Linked DNA regions of Neodiprion lecontei. The protein of the gene in region 2 binds, or shares a complex with, the protein of the main gene of each other region. Links are inferred from orthologs where the notes say so. Each region holds a gene or a part of one and is shown on either strand. Other genes may lie near its edges. The genes, in order: sonic hedgehog protein A and protein dispatched.

What was found.
Region 1: the proteins of protein dispatched (region 2) and sonic hedgehog protein A are in contact, whole or in part, in a cryo-EM structure (PDB 6TD6), measured with the Drosophila melanogaster proteins. The link is inferred for Neodiprion lecontei from reciprocal best matches to the Drosophila melanogaster genes disp and hh. Residues at the interface, in NP_524734.2 of Drosophila melanogaster: His77, His78, Arg250, Tyr253, Glu296, Ala404, Gln405, Ser406, Asn407, Arg408, Gly434, Asn755; in NP_001034065.1 of Drosophila melanogaster: Tyr100, Pro101, Val103, Leu104, Lys105, Gln106, Thr107, Asn110, Leu111, Ser117, Glu164, Lys165, Val168, Ala228, Gly229.

The regions. Positions count from the first base shown.
Region 1 is NC_060262.1:29,608,043-29,614,428, reverse strand, and holds the start of sonic hedgehog protein A, read right to left. Parts: upstream 3,926-6,386; 5' UTR 2,951-3,925; coding exon 2,609-2,950; intron 1-2,608.
Region 2 is NC_060264.1:34,405,801-34,414,712, reverse strand, and holds protein dispatched, read left to right. Parts: upstream 1-2,498; 5' UTR 2,499-3,073; coding exon 3,074-3,211; intron 3,212-3,715; coding exon 3,716-3,853; intron 3,854-3,927; coding exon 3,928-4,620; intron 4,621-4,701; coding exon 4,702-5,089; intron 5,090-5,179; coding exon 5,180-5,769; intron 5,770-5,852; coding exon 5,853-6,416; intron 6,417-6,518; coding exon 6,519-6,819; intron 6,820-6,901; coding exon 6,902-7,202; intron 7,203-7,285; coding exon 7,286-7,643; 3' UTR 7,644-8,751; downstream 8,752-8,912. Other genes in the region: uncharacterized protein LOC107219711, read right to left, coding at 1-118. UniProt on the Drosophila melanogaster protein: Segment polarity protein which functions in hedgehog (Hh) signaling.

The DNA.
Region 1 (6,386 bases), on a different chromosome or scaffold from region 2:
GACCGAACCTCTCGATGCTATAAGTGAAACATTAGACACGTTTCATACCGCAGTTTAATACAACCATCGATAAACTCTAGCAGATGGGTGTAAAATTTATTTACGATACTGTGTAACGTGCGCGAGCCTGAATATGTATAGGTATGCGTGTATTTAGAATACCTGCATCGTAATAAACACAAATTGAAACGTAACATCGAGTACATTGTGCACTGTGCGCCAAGAGTGTACATTCGAATAATACAGCGTACTTTTTATATAAATATTTTTTATATTGATCGATATTGTGATTATTTTCTTGGCAAATCCGCAACATGTCTTTTCGAATTCCATAGGTATACCTAACAAATGCACTTGAACGAAACGTCACTTTGGGCAAAAAGTCATTCGGCCAAAATTTGAGCGTTGAAAGTAAATCGATTGAAAAAATTGGGGGAATCGATAAGACTTCGTAGGTCCTTGATTTGAAACTGTGCTGAATGCGTTTAAATCTCATCTCACGGGTGCGAAGGTTGCGTAGATGTCGTTGGCGAAACGTCGAGTTGACGGGTAAAGTGCGGTGGCAAAGTCTGACATAGTCGTAACCGAGTGTCTCCAGTACAAGTGGCGTCTAGTAATTGTATCAAACCATGTGGCAACAAGAGTCAAGCGATAAGCGACACCCAACACCGTCCAAGCAACGATGACACATTCGATATCATCTCAGCATACGAAGCGGAGAGACTCGAGGACGGTCAGGGTGAAATGGTCGACTCGCTATTAAAGAACCATAACTTGCGCACCGTGACAAAGAATTTTCGAGAGGTTGCGTCATCCGGTTCACCTAACTGCAATTTTGCACGATAATGACGCACTCGCATCGAAATCGGAAGCTTATTGTTGGACTCAAGTTCCGACTAAAAAGACACTGCGATCTTAAGCGATGTCACTTCTCACAAGCAAGTGACAACCACTTAACGACACTTTCTAGCATCAATGCTCGTCGTGGGGTTCAATCCTTGCTACAACATCAGATCCATATCAATCCATACATTGATTGAAGCCCGAAGGGCAAGCGAGAAGGTTGCTTCGATGCGGTGAGAAGTGAGGATTGTTCATCGAGACCAAGCTGGAATGTTCGATTCATTGGAACTGAGTGCCGATCCTCAAAGGGTCGAGGGAAGAGGCTTGAAGTCAATTACGAGATACAAAACGCGGCGGTCTCGCGACGCTATTTGGACTAGGATAGGGTCTTCGTGACACGATCGAAATCGAGAAAAGTACGAGGTTGGTGAATTTATCTACCGTATAATTGGAGAAGCGTCAAGGCGTCAAATGAAACACTGGTTATGGCTACCATAAACCTTTCCACAATCACTTAGGGACTCGGTATAGTTTTTCCCCCATTTATTCCTCGCTTAGCGTGCGATCTTCGCCGTTCTCTTAACTCGTATAAAAATTTAAGTTGGGCCTCAGGCTTACGTCGACCCAGCTAGACAACTTCGACTAGGTTAACTCAATCCACATTGCCCTAGGACTGTGCAGCGTCGCTTCTTATTAGCACATATGAAATCTAAGCATCCGTCTGCGCCGGTGAAAAAAAATTCATACGTCACCTATCGTGAGCATTATGTATACACAGTGATATCTCAGCGATGTGTCAGACATCTCGCGACGCAGGTTGCAGTCTTCCGTGTTTGCGGATTCTATTAACGTTGCGAAAATATGTCATATTCCGTAATATTTTTATCAATATACGACAGTGACGGATAGACCAAGAAATTACAAACTACGCAATTTCTTGGTAAGTACAGCCTCACCGTTTCGAAAGTTTTACAGCCTAAGCGCTTGATCATTATTTGTACCGGGATAAATATTTAAAAGCAATAAATTTCCAAGTATAACCTTTAGCACGGAAACTAAGACTTCTCGCTGTACGGATAGCAAATTACTTTTAGCTGTATTAGCGAATGTTTTACAAGTGCAGGTAATTCCTCCAACTGATCAAACAACTTTTAACTGGAACTACATAATTCTTGCTAATAGAGGAAAAAACTTTTATCGCCATGATATTAACACCTTTCCTGCTGTTTCAGCGAATCCTTTCTGTCGTGTGTACAAGCGCAATTAGTGTTCGAGTGAATTTTAAACCATTTACAACTACAAGTAAGGGGGTTTACCTCGAGTCAAGTGTGAATTTTTAAGTGCTATGTATTACGTGCAAGAATGGTTAATATTTGCCTAGTATCGTTGCATCGAAGATACGCGCCCGGCGCCGGTCAACGTTCACCCGCACTACGACGATAACCATGATGCCTTTTGCGGAAGAAAGAAAACATACGACGTTATAATATGCTCTACAGAACGCTGTTCCTCGTAACTACCGATGCTTAGACACATATACATTAATATGAAATTATATCTTTGCAATGACGCGAGTACACCAAACAGCGGCCAGGAATTATCTATCTACCGGTTGACGCGACGGATTTGACGTCGCCGAGACCGACCACGTGTGCCCGGATGCCGTGGTTGCAACGACGATTACACGTTACAGCTGCAGGTCCAACCGTATATCGCACCGTTTACAATTCGACACGGATATGGGTAAATCGGTTTGAATATTCACCTGAGTCATGAGGCGATCGGCACCAGTGCCTTCCTCGTCCTTGAAGATTATGTCCTGGTTGTAGTTGGGCACCAGGTCGCGAAATCTGGTGTCGTGTCTGGACACGCGACCCTCGCTAAGTCCACTGGCGGGCAAAGTGTTCTCACTGACGTTTGGCACATGTTGTTTAAATACAAGCGGCGTCAACTTCCGGGGACGTATCCGTCGGTTGCTACCCCTTCCGGGGCCGCAGCCCTCGGCGAGGCCGGTGCCCAAGGAAGGAAGCCAGAACGATAGCAGTACCAAGCACACCAATATCCACCGCAGCTCGAATCTTGTCCTCGCGATCTTAGCGTTCACCATAATATCTTCCCGACCCAGTGCGATAGGGTCAGTCCGTCGTTGGTGTGACCCAGCTTCGGTGCGATCCCGACCCAGTCCGCCTCTTTCGTCTCGCCTCACTGCGTAGTAGCCATAACCAGGGCATCACACCCTGCGCCTCGTGGACGTCGCGAATTGAGCAACCGGCAACCGGGTCACCGCGAACTGTCACCGCGTTCGCCGATTGGCACCAAGGGGTGGCGAACGACGGTGGATCCGGAAGCGGGAGGGCACACCGTTTACCAGAATAACACTGTGGTCACACCTGTCACTGTAACGATAAATCACGTCTGCTTCTCTGCACCGCGTTCGGTACCGACTACGTCGTCACGAACCGATCGCCTGCCATTTATCCAGTTCGCGGGTTGCTCCGCTGAAATTCGCGCGCAAGATACGGAAATCGAGGCGGATACTACAAGGCCCGAGATCGATCAATCACACGGCACTTTTACCGACAATTAACTGCGGTCTTCTTAATTCTTTACTCTGAGTTTTCCCTTAAGTCGATGTGTCTCGGTATGTATACAGTAATTATCGATCCAGGCCGTAAGTGCCAGATTCGCGCCGTGAATCGGTACGTTATATCGGCTCGGATCGGTTATTACAAGCGGTATGTAAGGACAAGGAAAATTCGCGAATAATAATTATTTCCGAGCTTTAACCGGGTGGACGAACATCGTGCAATTTCGTTAACGTGTAACTGACGTTATGGATTCAACGGGTGTTCGCAAGTTGGCGGTTGGCGCACGTCGTGAATTTGTAATCGTGGTGCGTATCGAACAGCCCGACAACTGTCAAAACTGTGACAACGTGGATCTGGGGTCCTGGATTGACTGCCGCTTTCCCGACGAACCGTGGTGGGAAATGTCCCGTGGTGCGTTTGGTGTTCCCTGGGTGCCACGGACGGACCAAACCGGGTTCTCGCCTCCTCCCCCACCCTGCCGCCCGCCGGAGACCGGCGACGTCGCTGACTCCTGGTGGACTTCCCCCTTCCACCCGCCCTGAGCGATCGCCAGGTGTGACGTCACGCCCGCGGTTTGCTCCACGATTGGCCGGGGCGGGGCGAGCCAGGTAAACGAGGACAGGTGTACAACAGGAATACACACCGAGGAACGGTCCTCTCTCCTCTCCTGGTTCGCGCCGGCCGCACGGTCCCTCCGCTCATACAGAGATCGCTCTCCTCGGTCCGTCCGCCTCCAGAGTCCCGTGTGTCGTCCGGGTTATCGGCGTATCGCTCCCTCTTTCTCTCTCTCTCTCTCTCCTCTCCGCTTCTCTCCCTGACAATCCTCAACCCGGTCCAAACCGAACGCGGCTCCTTCCCGCTCAACGACTCGCCAAGTCTGAGTCTCAACCCCCCGAGAAACCGAACTGCGTCGGATACTTTCAACCTCTGAAAGGAAGCACTGGCTATCTTCGCCGAGGATGTCTTCTCCACCGACCGTTTGTTGCCGGAGTTATCTCTCGGGAACAGCTGAGTGAAGTCGTTCCGGACCCTTTGGCCCTTACCTTAACACCCTCACCTCCACCTCTCATATCCTTCTGTCACCGACACTTTTCGATCGTTCCTTTTTAACTTCTCGTTTTCGGTTTTATTTCTCGTTCAACGTCAGTCGTTTTCGATGCAGCGATTAATTCGAATGTTCTATCATGTCGACTTCATCCTGCACATAGACTTGTTCTGAACACTGATTAGTTGGATTTGGTTTTTACTGTAAATTGTTTCACAGTTAACGATATTACGTCAGGCATACCTGTATCTAATACTTCATAAGCATTCTTTCTAAGCTTTGCACTCTCTCCGAAATGACGAAATGATACCATTAGCGAGAAACGATGCAGTTACGCAATATTTTACTGCTTATCATAACTCTGTGCATAGCAAGCAGTTGGCTATCTTCTGTGTAAACAAGAAGTGCTCGTCTGAAGTATTCCGATCTTGTAAAAAAATTGGACCGTCGATTGACTGACCTTAGGATGAAATCAAAAAAAGAATCAGCAAATCATGTACATAGTTTGAACGGTACAGGCATGAAGTCTGCAGTTCCATTCAAGAGTTGATCCGATTACCTGCCGCACAACGATGTGTATTTTTGGGTACAATTAATAACCTATTACACCCTAAAATATATGCTCTGAACACGAGGAATTAACCGTAGGAACAACGAACGTTTCAGGTGGGTGATTCGCCTTGTATTGTAAATCGGCGGGCTTTTCAACTGGTCGTTTAAGCAGAGAAGTGCTGTGCGCCACCGATGGCAGCCGGAAAGCTACTGATGCCTCTGATAGCTCCTAGCCTTGCTAACCGCGCCGTGAGCGTTGCTAGTTTCTTGGGCTTACTGATAATAAACACCGTTCCATTACCCACGATTTATCCCTCTAACCGTGTCCAGTCATGTAGCGTATTTGGTGTGCAGGCACAGTGTGTACACAACACACCCACATGCCGCATTTCCTTGCAGCTCTATCACTTCTACGATAACTGGTATATTGCAAGTCCACTCCATCCTCACACGTGCCTCTACCCGAGGTGCGTTCAACGTGCGTATCTACCTGGGCATCGGGCATATGTTTCACCGAATGGACTGTTGGCTTCTCATGCTTCCTACATCCTTCGCGTCGCAATATCTTATCAGCAAAACGTTATGGTCAGGGTCTCCGTTTGGTGTGTCGTCGTCAGGGGCAGTGATGCCACTGTTACCTCATGATTCGAGATCAGGAAAAATGGACTTTCCCAGAACTGTGTGAAAGAGGACTTTCCTTTCTAGGTCACAACCGATTCTTAACCGATCTGCGGATGACAGTTGTGTAATGTATAATACTGTCGGCAATGTTGGCCACAGTTTCCGCGAATATATCCGTCTCGTAGTTCGGAGCGTAACTCTTTCAAGTTCGTTTTGGAATTTGCACAGCTTGTGCAGATGATATTCTATAACGTGCAAAACGGTATATTTATCAGACGTTGGATAGATTTTTACAGATGGAAAAATCCGTCTACCTACCGAGTTGATATTAAGTGCTATTCAGATTTCGGTGAATCTTTGACACGGGTACTCTGTTCTTTTTCCAGTGCCAGATTGGTGTTAAGTAAGTATTCTACATAAACCCAAGCGGTGAAGATGTTATTGCGAAAGGCGTTTGATATTGAAAAATCGAAAGAGCGAGAGGAAAAAATTACGGAAATACGTTGGCGGTCAAGGCGGGTTTTTACACGATCCTCGCCTTGTTTGATCTAGTGATTTAGACCAGGCTTCTACATACAGGCGTTCTCTACCGCAGACCCTGCGCTTTAGTATACAGCTGTGCATATTCCGTGGGTGGAGAGAAGGGCAGATGCTTACACAGGCGATGATTTACGTGCGGAACTTCGGGGAAACTGGATAAACGGGGAATTCTTTAGTTGAACAGGTCAACGTCACCA
Region 2 (8,912 bases):
CATCAGTTGGCTCCTTGCATTCAGTGGCAGCCATCATACTCTCGTCCAAATTGTTGGGGATTTGGTCGTGCCCGAGTTCTGCCCGATCCCCTGGCTCTTTCCCTGTTGTAAACCTCATCTTCCTCTTACTACCATTCTAGTAGTTAGAACATTGGCTCCGCTGAGGTATTAGCCGCGTTTATGGCAGAGAACTTAGCTCTGCAAGTTGCCAATTCTTATGTAACATCGACGCAGTGTTCGGCATGTAAACTGTTGTGTGTATAATTCAAAGGTATTTCAGGTTTGGAGTAAAAAGAAAATTGGTTGAGGATTATTACATTCTTTATTTATTGACTATAAGGATAATAAATACACTACAAAAAAATGATTGACCAAAGTAGAGATTTACAGGACGTTTCACATGTTGGAAATAATTTCAGAGGATTTGGTCAAATGTGACAAATTTTAATCATTCGGGTCATGTTGAAAAAGTAGAAAGCGGGTTTTGCAGTTTCTGAAGCTCTCATAGAAGCTTGGTATGCATGATCAACAATTGATTGCAATGTTCAAAAGCTGTGCTCTATTTGCCTGGTCATATCTAGCGATGTATTTGCCATAAGTAAATATCGAAAATAATAACCTGCGTGGATTTGCAGGAAAAGATAAACAACCGTTAGGATGTTCCAAGTCAAACAATTTAGACGCAAATTACAAATGGATTAACGTTATCGCGATGCTGACGTCAGGGAAAAAATATTCACTTTTCTCGTTTGAAACTAGAGCTTCGAGGATAACGTTTCCATCGAAGTATGACCAAGTGTCAGTTAGTAGTCAAGTATGCACATATATTACCTTTGTGTTCCAAGCTGTCGCTATATCAACGGTTAGCCTCCTCTATATAGAGAGTGTTTTGTTTTGCTCCGGTTTTTCCCCCACACTTTATAGGTCTTTGCGAGGTTTCGAAAGCAAATTGGTTCTTATCATCGCCCCGCGCTGCGCGCACACGATCTTCCTTCTTTCTTTATTATTTTTTTCCATATATTTAACGCGTTACACACCCCCTGCTAGTCCAACTATTATAGTCAAAGGACAGGCGATCGGTGGTTGGTGGTAATACCCGCCAACTAAAAAATGGCGTCGGATCATAAGCGCTGAGCAGGATTGTGGTTTGACATACTGCAGTTGACACTGATTCAACTATCGCTATTTATCCCTAATTGTCAACCCAGTTCACAAATATTCAATTTTCAAAATATTTATGAAAATCTATAAGGAACACACAATCAATTAATCTCCACTTCAGTGTTGTTATTTCCATTTACTATTAACAATCTCAAGATGGGTGGACAGTAGCATTTCTCCAATTATGACGCACAGCCGCAAACTATAGAGTACACAGATCATTGTTCTAATATTTTTTTTCTAACGCTACTAGCGTCACCAATCGGCTCGCAGCTATGGCTTTCCCGTTGGGACTTCCCCGTTAAATTCCCTTCTCCATCACCACTATCCCCATGGCCATTGTTTATTACCCGCCATTACTCGCGTTTTCGCAGTCTAGCCAACGTATTGAAATTACACGAATATTTTAGTCATATGGAATCATGAAACGCAAATAACAAAGCGAAAAAATGTTATTTTTTTCGATGCCAAATAATGATGCTAGAGCTATCTAATATGTCGTATACGATTGTGGGTATGACACACCAATTCTAAAAAGTATAATCTCTCCGATTTATAAGTACTGCTGCCCACAGGATGACCGTTCAAATTAAGTTGTAATCACGAGGATTACAAATAGTTTTCGTTTACAGTATCAAGTTGCAGCCATTGAAGTTGATTTCAAGTTGAAACGGCATCGCGCTTGTTTTTATATGATCATTTAGGCCGCTGATATTTTTAGTTTTAAATTTATTTCTGATCTTTTATTGTCACGCTCGTAACGTTATAGCCCAGCAGCGCCTAAGCCGAAAAAACAAACTGCACAATTTTTTTGGGTTGAACTACAAAATGTAACCAATGTATTTGCGTCTATTTTTTCCGATAGTACCGTAAAAATAAACAAAATATTCGGTTTCCTGTAAAATGTAATTTTCTCAATAAAGATCGGACTTGTAGTTATATAGCCTTTACGACAAACCCTGTACCTTACTTTCCAATGTATTTAGTCTTTATAAAACTAATATGGAAGTGCAACCAAAAACTTCGAGTTTTAACGATCACTGCTGCAAAGCTATATTCAAACAGCGGATAATGAAGTATCAGAATTCCGAATTTTATTTTCGTTTACGTGTAAATACAAAAACGCGCAAACGAAAGTTGAAGGTATTTGTTATAATCGAGTTGCGCAAAAATGATTAAATTTGTCTACCGTTACCTCAAGTGCTTTATTACTGTTATGAAGTGGATTTTTGCAATTTCGTAGCCTGGTTTACTGCGCATTGTAGGACATCAGTGCGCGTGTCGATTTTTCCCAATTCTCCCAGCGTCTCAAAAGCCGGGACAACAGAGAGAAAAACGCGCATGCGTCCGTTAATCCCGACAGTAGCTTAATAGTAGAAATGACGCTTTAACCTCGAATTTATTGGTCTCTTTCAGTATAAACAAAACACTCATTCCACGCCTATATACAGTGTATAATCCAAATTTCAAATACAAATGTAAACTCGGGGGTCTTGACGGTCAAAAAATTAACCGCATCGGCAATGATAATAAAAATTACCAAATCTCTGCCTCTCTGGAAAGGTCGTCGCGATTATTGGAAATTCTCAGTGTACATCGCGAACGGTGTTTTAACTAATGTCCTGAACCCAGATATTAATTGTAATTAAGATTGCGTTGGCTTTGTTTTCTGCTAGAGCGCAACAATTGTTATATTTAAAATTAAGAAATCAAATTTTAACCGTATATTACAGACTGATGCCAAATTTCAATTGTCTTAATCTCAACGGCGTGCTATCGGTATTGTACCTACATATACACGATATTTGCTCAATTTTCCATTAGCCCTTTATTATATAGTGCGTAGAAAACTAAATAACAATAATATTAAACTTGAGGCGTAACTCAAAAGGAAATATTCTTACGTACAATCATGGAAATATGGTGGTTTTCCCGTGTCGTGGCTTATCATCCCTACGCTATTCTTGCCGCTGTTTTCGTCTTCTCTTCAACTTGTTTGATAGTCCCGTTAACTACTAAAAAATTCCCGGACTTTTCCGACCCGCAATTAGTAAGTATAACAAGTTCTTTTCCGGATAAATAATCAATCTCATCGCGTACGATTATTTATATAATCATTGATTATTTATATGTGTGGCCAAGCTTTCATATGCAACAGGGGAATCCCATGATTACAATTTCAATGCACTTTTTCTTGAACCATGAATAATGTATTTACTAGATTGCTTATATTATAGATTGATGAATGTATTCAAGATTTCATAATTTACTTTAAACCTTTTTCATTTTATAGAATGTAACTAGCCGGATTTCGTGCTTCATCGTTAGTTTTATGCTCATTCGCAATGGTCACGAATTCGAATTTCCAATTTTCATTTTTTTTTTGGTTGAATTGATAGTTTAATAAATAGACGGCATTTTTTTAAACATCAATCGCGCGGGAAATTACCTGGTCAGCAGTGCAATTTTCGTCAAGTATAAGTCATAGAAATTATGGTATATTTCAATAAATTCAGTAAATACTAGTTTATTAACATAATAATAAACTTCACAGGGTTTCGAAGCTCGAGGAACAGTCTTGGCATCGAGATTAACAACATGGCAAAATTTGATAGAAGCAATTAGGCCTCGAGGAAGTCTCATTGCAAACCCTCTGGAATATTATCATCATATTTTGCAATCAATGAGCCTAGTAAGTTATTACTATCTTATCATTGTTATTATTGATGCACGTGAAGAAGTAACAAAGTATTATTTTGTTAATAGAATGAAACTAGTTTGATGACTCACAACACAACTACCCAGATAACTGTGGATAAGAAGAATCGTAAAAAGGGTAAAAGAAAGGGTAAAAAATATGGGAAGAATAAAAAAAATACAGATACGGAGGAGCAAGGTGTGAAAAAAGACAAATGGACAGAGCTGATGGAGTTGAAAGAAAATCAGAGTTTCCGTTTGGAGAATCCAGAGACTATAAGGAATCACGCCCACTTTGATAGCGACGGTTTCTTTTGTAATTCCCCGACCGCAGCCTATGCTCGTATTGTCCTCAGATCTGTTTCTGGTACCGAGAACTTATGGTCTCTGGAAGGAATACTGGCTCAGTGTCACATTGACGCTGCGCTTCGCGCCAACAACGAATTTCCAGCCTTGTGTCAAATTCAACTCCAAAACCAGCACGGTGATACAGAAAAAAAATGCTGCCGAAGCTGGTCACCAGCAAACTACGTGGCTTTACTGTCGAACAGAACCTCTTGTCTGGGTGTTACAGAAAGTGATTTGAACAGAGTAAAACTCTTGCTGAATAGGTGTGCTCATTTTTATCACAACCTTCAGCTTACTCCAGACTGCGCTGACGACCCCGATTGCCGAAGGCATGTGACCCCCGATTGCTATTTGCACAATGCTCCGTATCATCTACTCTATTATCTTCTTGATACCGAGTTTATACCCTCTTACGTAAGTGTCTCGTCGTATACTTTTCCTTGAAAGTGCACTACTATTGGCATCTTTCACTGCGTCTTTCACTTTCATTTTCAGAATGGAACCACGTCACCTAAACTGAACACAACTCTAAATTCCGCCATGCTTTTCTTACCAATGGCTGCCAGTTCTGCCACTCTTGACTTTTATCGCGGACTAAACGAGGATGAATTAACTTACGGCAAATTCAAAGTACAGGGAATGCAGCTGGGGCTGAAGAGCACGCTCTTTGATCGCCTTTTGGTTTCAGATTCTTGTCTGCTTCTCGCAGGCTTCGCATTCGTCACAGTTTGCATATGGGCGTATACCAGCTCAATTATACTAACGGTAACAACCATACTTGCCGTTCTCTTCAGTCTGGGCATATCGTACGCCTTTTATACTCTCGTTCTCCGAATAAATTTCTTCCCATTCATGAATTTGCTGGCTATTGTTGTCGCTGTTGGTAAGAATTCTATCTCAAACGTCAAGCAATATTGTAACCTAAATGGGATTCTTCAGCCATTCAGATTGTAAATACACACAATGTTTTCAGGAATTGGGGCCGACGATGCCTTTATTTATTGCAAAGTATGGGAATGCGGGAAGCAGAAGAAATTGACTGGCGGCGGACTGGTCAGTCTGGTCCAAGAAACGATGAAGCATGCCGTTCCATCTATGCTGGTCACCTCACTGACTACAGCAGTTGCTTTCTTTGCATCTATAGTCAGCAACGTTACGGCCATAAATTGCTTCAGTTTATTTTCTGGAATGACCGTGATAGCCAATTTCCTTTTGATGGTGACCTGGTTACCGGCAAGCGTTGTTGTCTCCGAACACTGTCACCTCACCTTATTATCGCCAGCCAATTTCATTGTGAGGAAAATCTACCGCCCCCTCAGGCTTTTCCTTGGCAAAGTAGCCACTGATTTTGGCAAAGTACTTTCCAGAATCGCTATCGAGTTCAGATGGTTGTGGCTAGTGATTTGCGGATCCACAGCTGTTGCTGCCAGTCTAGTTGTCTTCCGATATCCAGGCCTACAGCTGCCAGATTCCCCTGATTTCCAACTGTTCGATAGTTCTCACCTCTTCGAAAAGTATGACTTGGTTTTCTCGCAACGCTTCTGGTTTGAAAAGCTAGAACTGGTAAGCAAATATCATGACATGATTTCAGTTTGTTTGAAAATTAACAACAAGTTTTATCTAACTATCAGTATTGCAATCCTCAGGGAGACGGCGGCGAAGTTTTGCCATTGAGATTTGTGTGGGGAGTGAAACCCGTGGATAATGGGAACTACTTGGATCCAGGAGCAAGAGGAACATTGGAATGGGATGAGACCTTTGACGTGTCGAGTAGGAAGTCGCAGCTCTGGCTGCTGCAATTCTGTCGTAGTCTCAGAATGCAGCCGTTTTATCGAAGTACTTTGGGTCCCTTACTCCCAAACTGCTTTATCGAATCGCTAAAGGCTTTCATGCAGCGGCGTTGTGTGGATCCCATAGATCTGCAAATAGATCGAGCCCCGTGCTGCGAGAACAGTACTTTTCCCTACTCGCCATCTGTCTTGGAACATTGCGCAGCTGAAGCAAACGCTGATTTATATCGCACACCCTCTTACCTTTGGGGAGGAGAATCTTCCACTTCGGCAGGACTGAAGTTCCTCAAAGAAGACGTACACCTCACTTTGAATAACACCCAACGGCCTCAACCCAAAATCAAGGCCCTGATCATAGAATACGACAGCAATTTCACGTACAGTCTCTCATTCACAGAAATGGATCAGTTTTACCGTCAGGTAAAGCTTAATCAAACTAGAAGTAAAAAGAAGAGAAAAATACTGAAACATGCGACGACAAGTATTGTCCGCTCATATTCTGGTATCATTATTTATTCACAGGTTGAAAGCTGGATGAAGGAGCAACTGCTGAAGGCACCATCCGGAATGCGAGGTGGTTGGTTCATCAGTAGACTAGAATTTTACGAACTTCAACGAACTCTTTACGAGGGTACGCTATGGGCTATGGGAGTATCGATGATCTTAGCATTGGTGGTGCTAGCGCTAGTCACGCTCAATATTCTGGTCAGTTTGTACGCGATTGTTGCAATTGGAGCGGCGATAGTTGTCACAGTCGCATATCTTATTCTGGCTGGGTGGAGGTTGAACGTTCTCGAAAGTGTTGCGGTGTCCACAGCAATTGGTGAACAAAACTTTAATCATCTCATTACGTTTTTGGAGCCAGTTTCCTTTTCCCCATTTTACCCTGAATTCTTTCCACGCAGGTCTCGCGGTTGACTTCAGTCTGCACTATAGCGTCAGCTACAGAGCTTCCACCTCCGAGGATAGAGTTGATCGGGTCAAAACAGCACTCGAGCAAATGGGAGGACCAACGCTCATGGCAGCTGTGACTAGTGGAGCTGCTGGCGCACTTATGCTTCCGTCGCAAGTCTTGGCTTACATACAAATCGGATTTTTTCTCGTCGTCGTAATGACTGTGAGCTGGATTTACGCTACCCTATTTCTCTGCCCAATTCTGGCTGTAATTGGACCGTCGCAAGGCTTTGCCCAGTACCAGTATCCGAGGTACGTGAATCTCGTCGGTGAAATCTGAAAAGGTGCGAGGTACTATCGAATTTCATCTTCTGGAGATAAAAATGTTTTTCCAGATTTTCGGCATCCTGGTTCCGTTCAAGGTTTCGTAAGGAGACAGAAGAGACTACGACTGGCGTCATGGGGAACCGTAAAGCCAAGGAACAGACCAGGAAACAAAACAGGGAGCGAGAGCGTGAACGGGAAAGGGAGCGCAAAAAAGGCCGAGGGATGCTGTCGGAATCTACACTTAGCACGTCGAGCACCGTTTGCCAGTTTCATTGTGGCGAGCTGGAAGTCCTTGCTGGGAGAGGACCGCCATCTTCATCGTTGCCACCTTCTCCATCCTCGACTCTGTTGTATCTCGAGCCTTCGCAATCGGGTCCCTCGACAGGTAGAAATAACAAGCGAAAACCGAACAACGAACTCGACTAAGAGGTGTATATGTGTCTTTCTGAATTCTGCAATCTTCTGCTGTTCAAATGGTAAGTAAATAAGAGTCTACCTAAAGTATTAAAGCTTACTGATGATTCAATGTCGTGAACGAATTGATGGACAGCTGATAAAAAAATTGGTGATTGTATCGTGTAATGCTAATTGTGTATACGTATGTGATGGTAAAGATGTTGCGGATAAAACATCGATGTACCTAACGGATAAATATAATTAATGTATCGAGTCTTTGTTGGCCGTGATCTCAAGGCTGAGGATATTAATATAAACAAGATTGTTGTTACACTGACTGTAGATTCAGGTGGGATTTTATTAATAGGTTGAAAGTTGAATCATTGTGAAAAATACAAACTCAAGTTGTAGACAACTTAAATCCAACTGAAAACTACTGGATTCTAGAGAAAACATCTGAATGACTTAAATTATAATAAGAATTACATATTCTTGGCCTGAAACAAATTTTTATGAAGTGAGATGTAGGTGCAGCTTAACGTTAAATTTTCCAAGTGTGTATATATGTGTATATATATGTGTATATATGTGTATATTATGTATATACATGCATATGCACAGAGATATGATATAACTTGAGTTATTACTACATGTTGTTATATGATCGTATGTATATATGTATACTATATTGATATTATTTTACTGCGACGTTACGTATACTTCGTAGATTATGGTGACGAGTCATTGCGAAAATCGCCAATACTTTTAAAACGACACTGTGAAGTAGTCCACTTATGTTCCTAATTTAAACGGTGTAACAAGCCATATGATATTGAAACGGGTATTCATACCTTAATAATACAATGTATTTTCAAAGGACTGGTGAATGTATTCTATATCAGTATTCAAGTAACACAATTTGCATGTGATGATGATAACGATTGCCTTTGATACAGTGACGTCTTACAGATCCTAGTTTAATTTTACCTCTTTTTAGATATTTCAAGAGAGCGTTATGCCTTCTCTGAATAAACTTATACCTCGTGAGAAATTTCATTTGTGATATAGCAGTGCTTTGAGAAGCCCTACAAACGTGTATCAAGTAAATATCATAACGATAAAGCTGTGTTAATTTAAACTATTGTATGCATCTCATACATATCAAACTTTTTAGTTTAGACATGATCCATTGGCACCTCATTTTCTACGCCGGTGATCGTTTTGTTTCTTAATTTTTACTCGAATGGTCCGCAAAGTATTATTAGTAGTAATATCATCGTGCAGAATATTTGGCAGTTA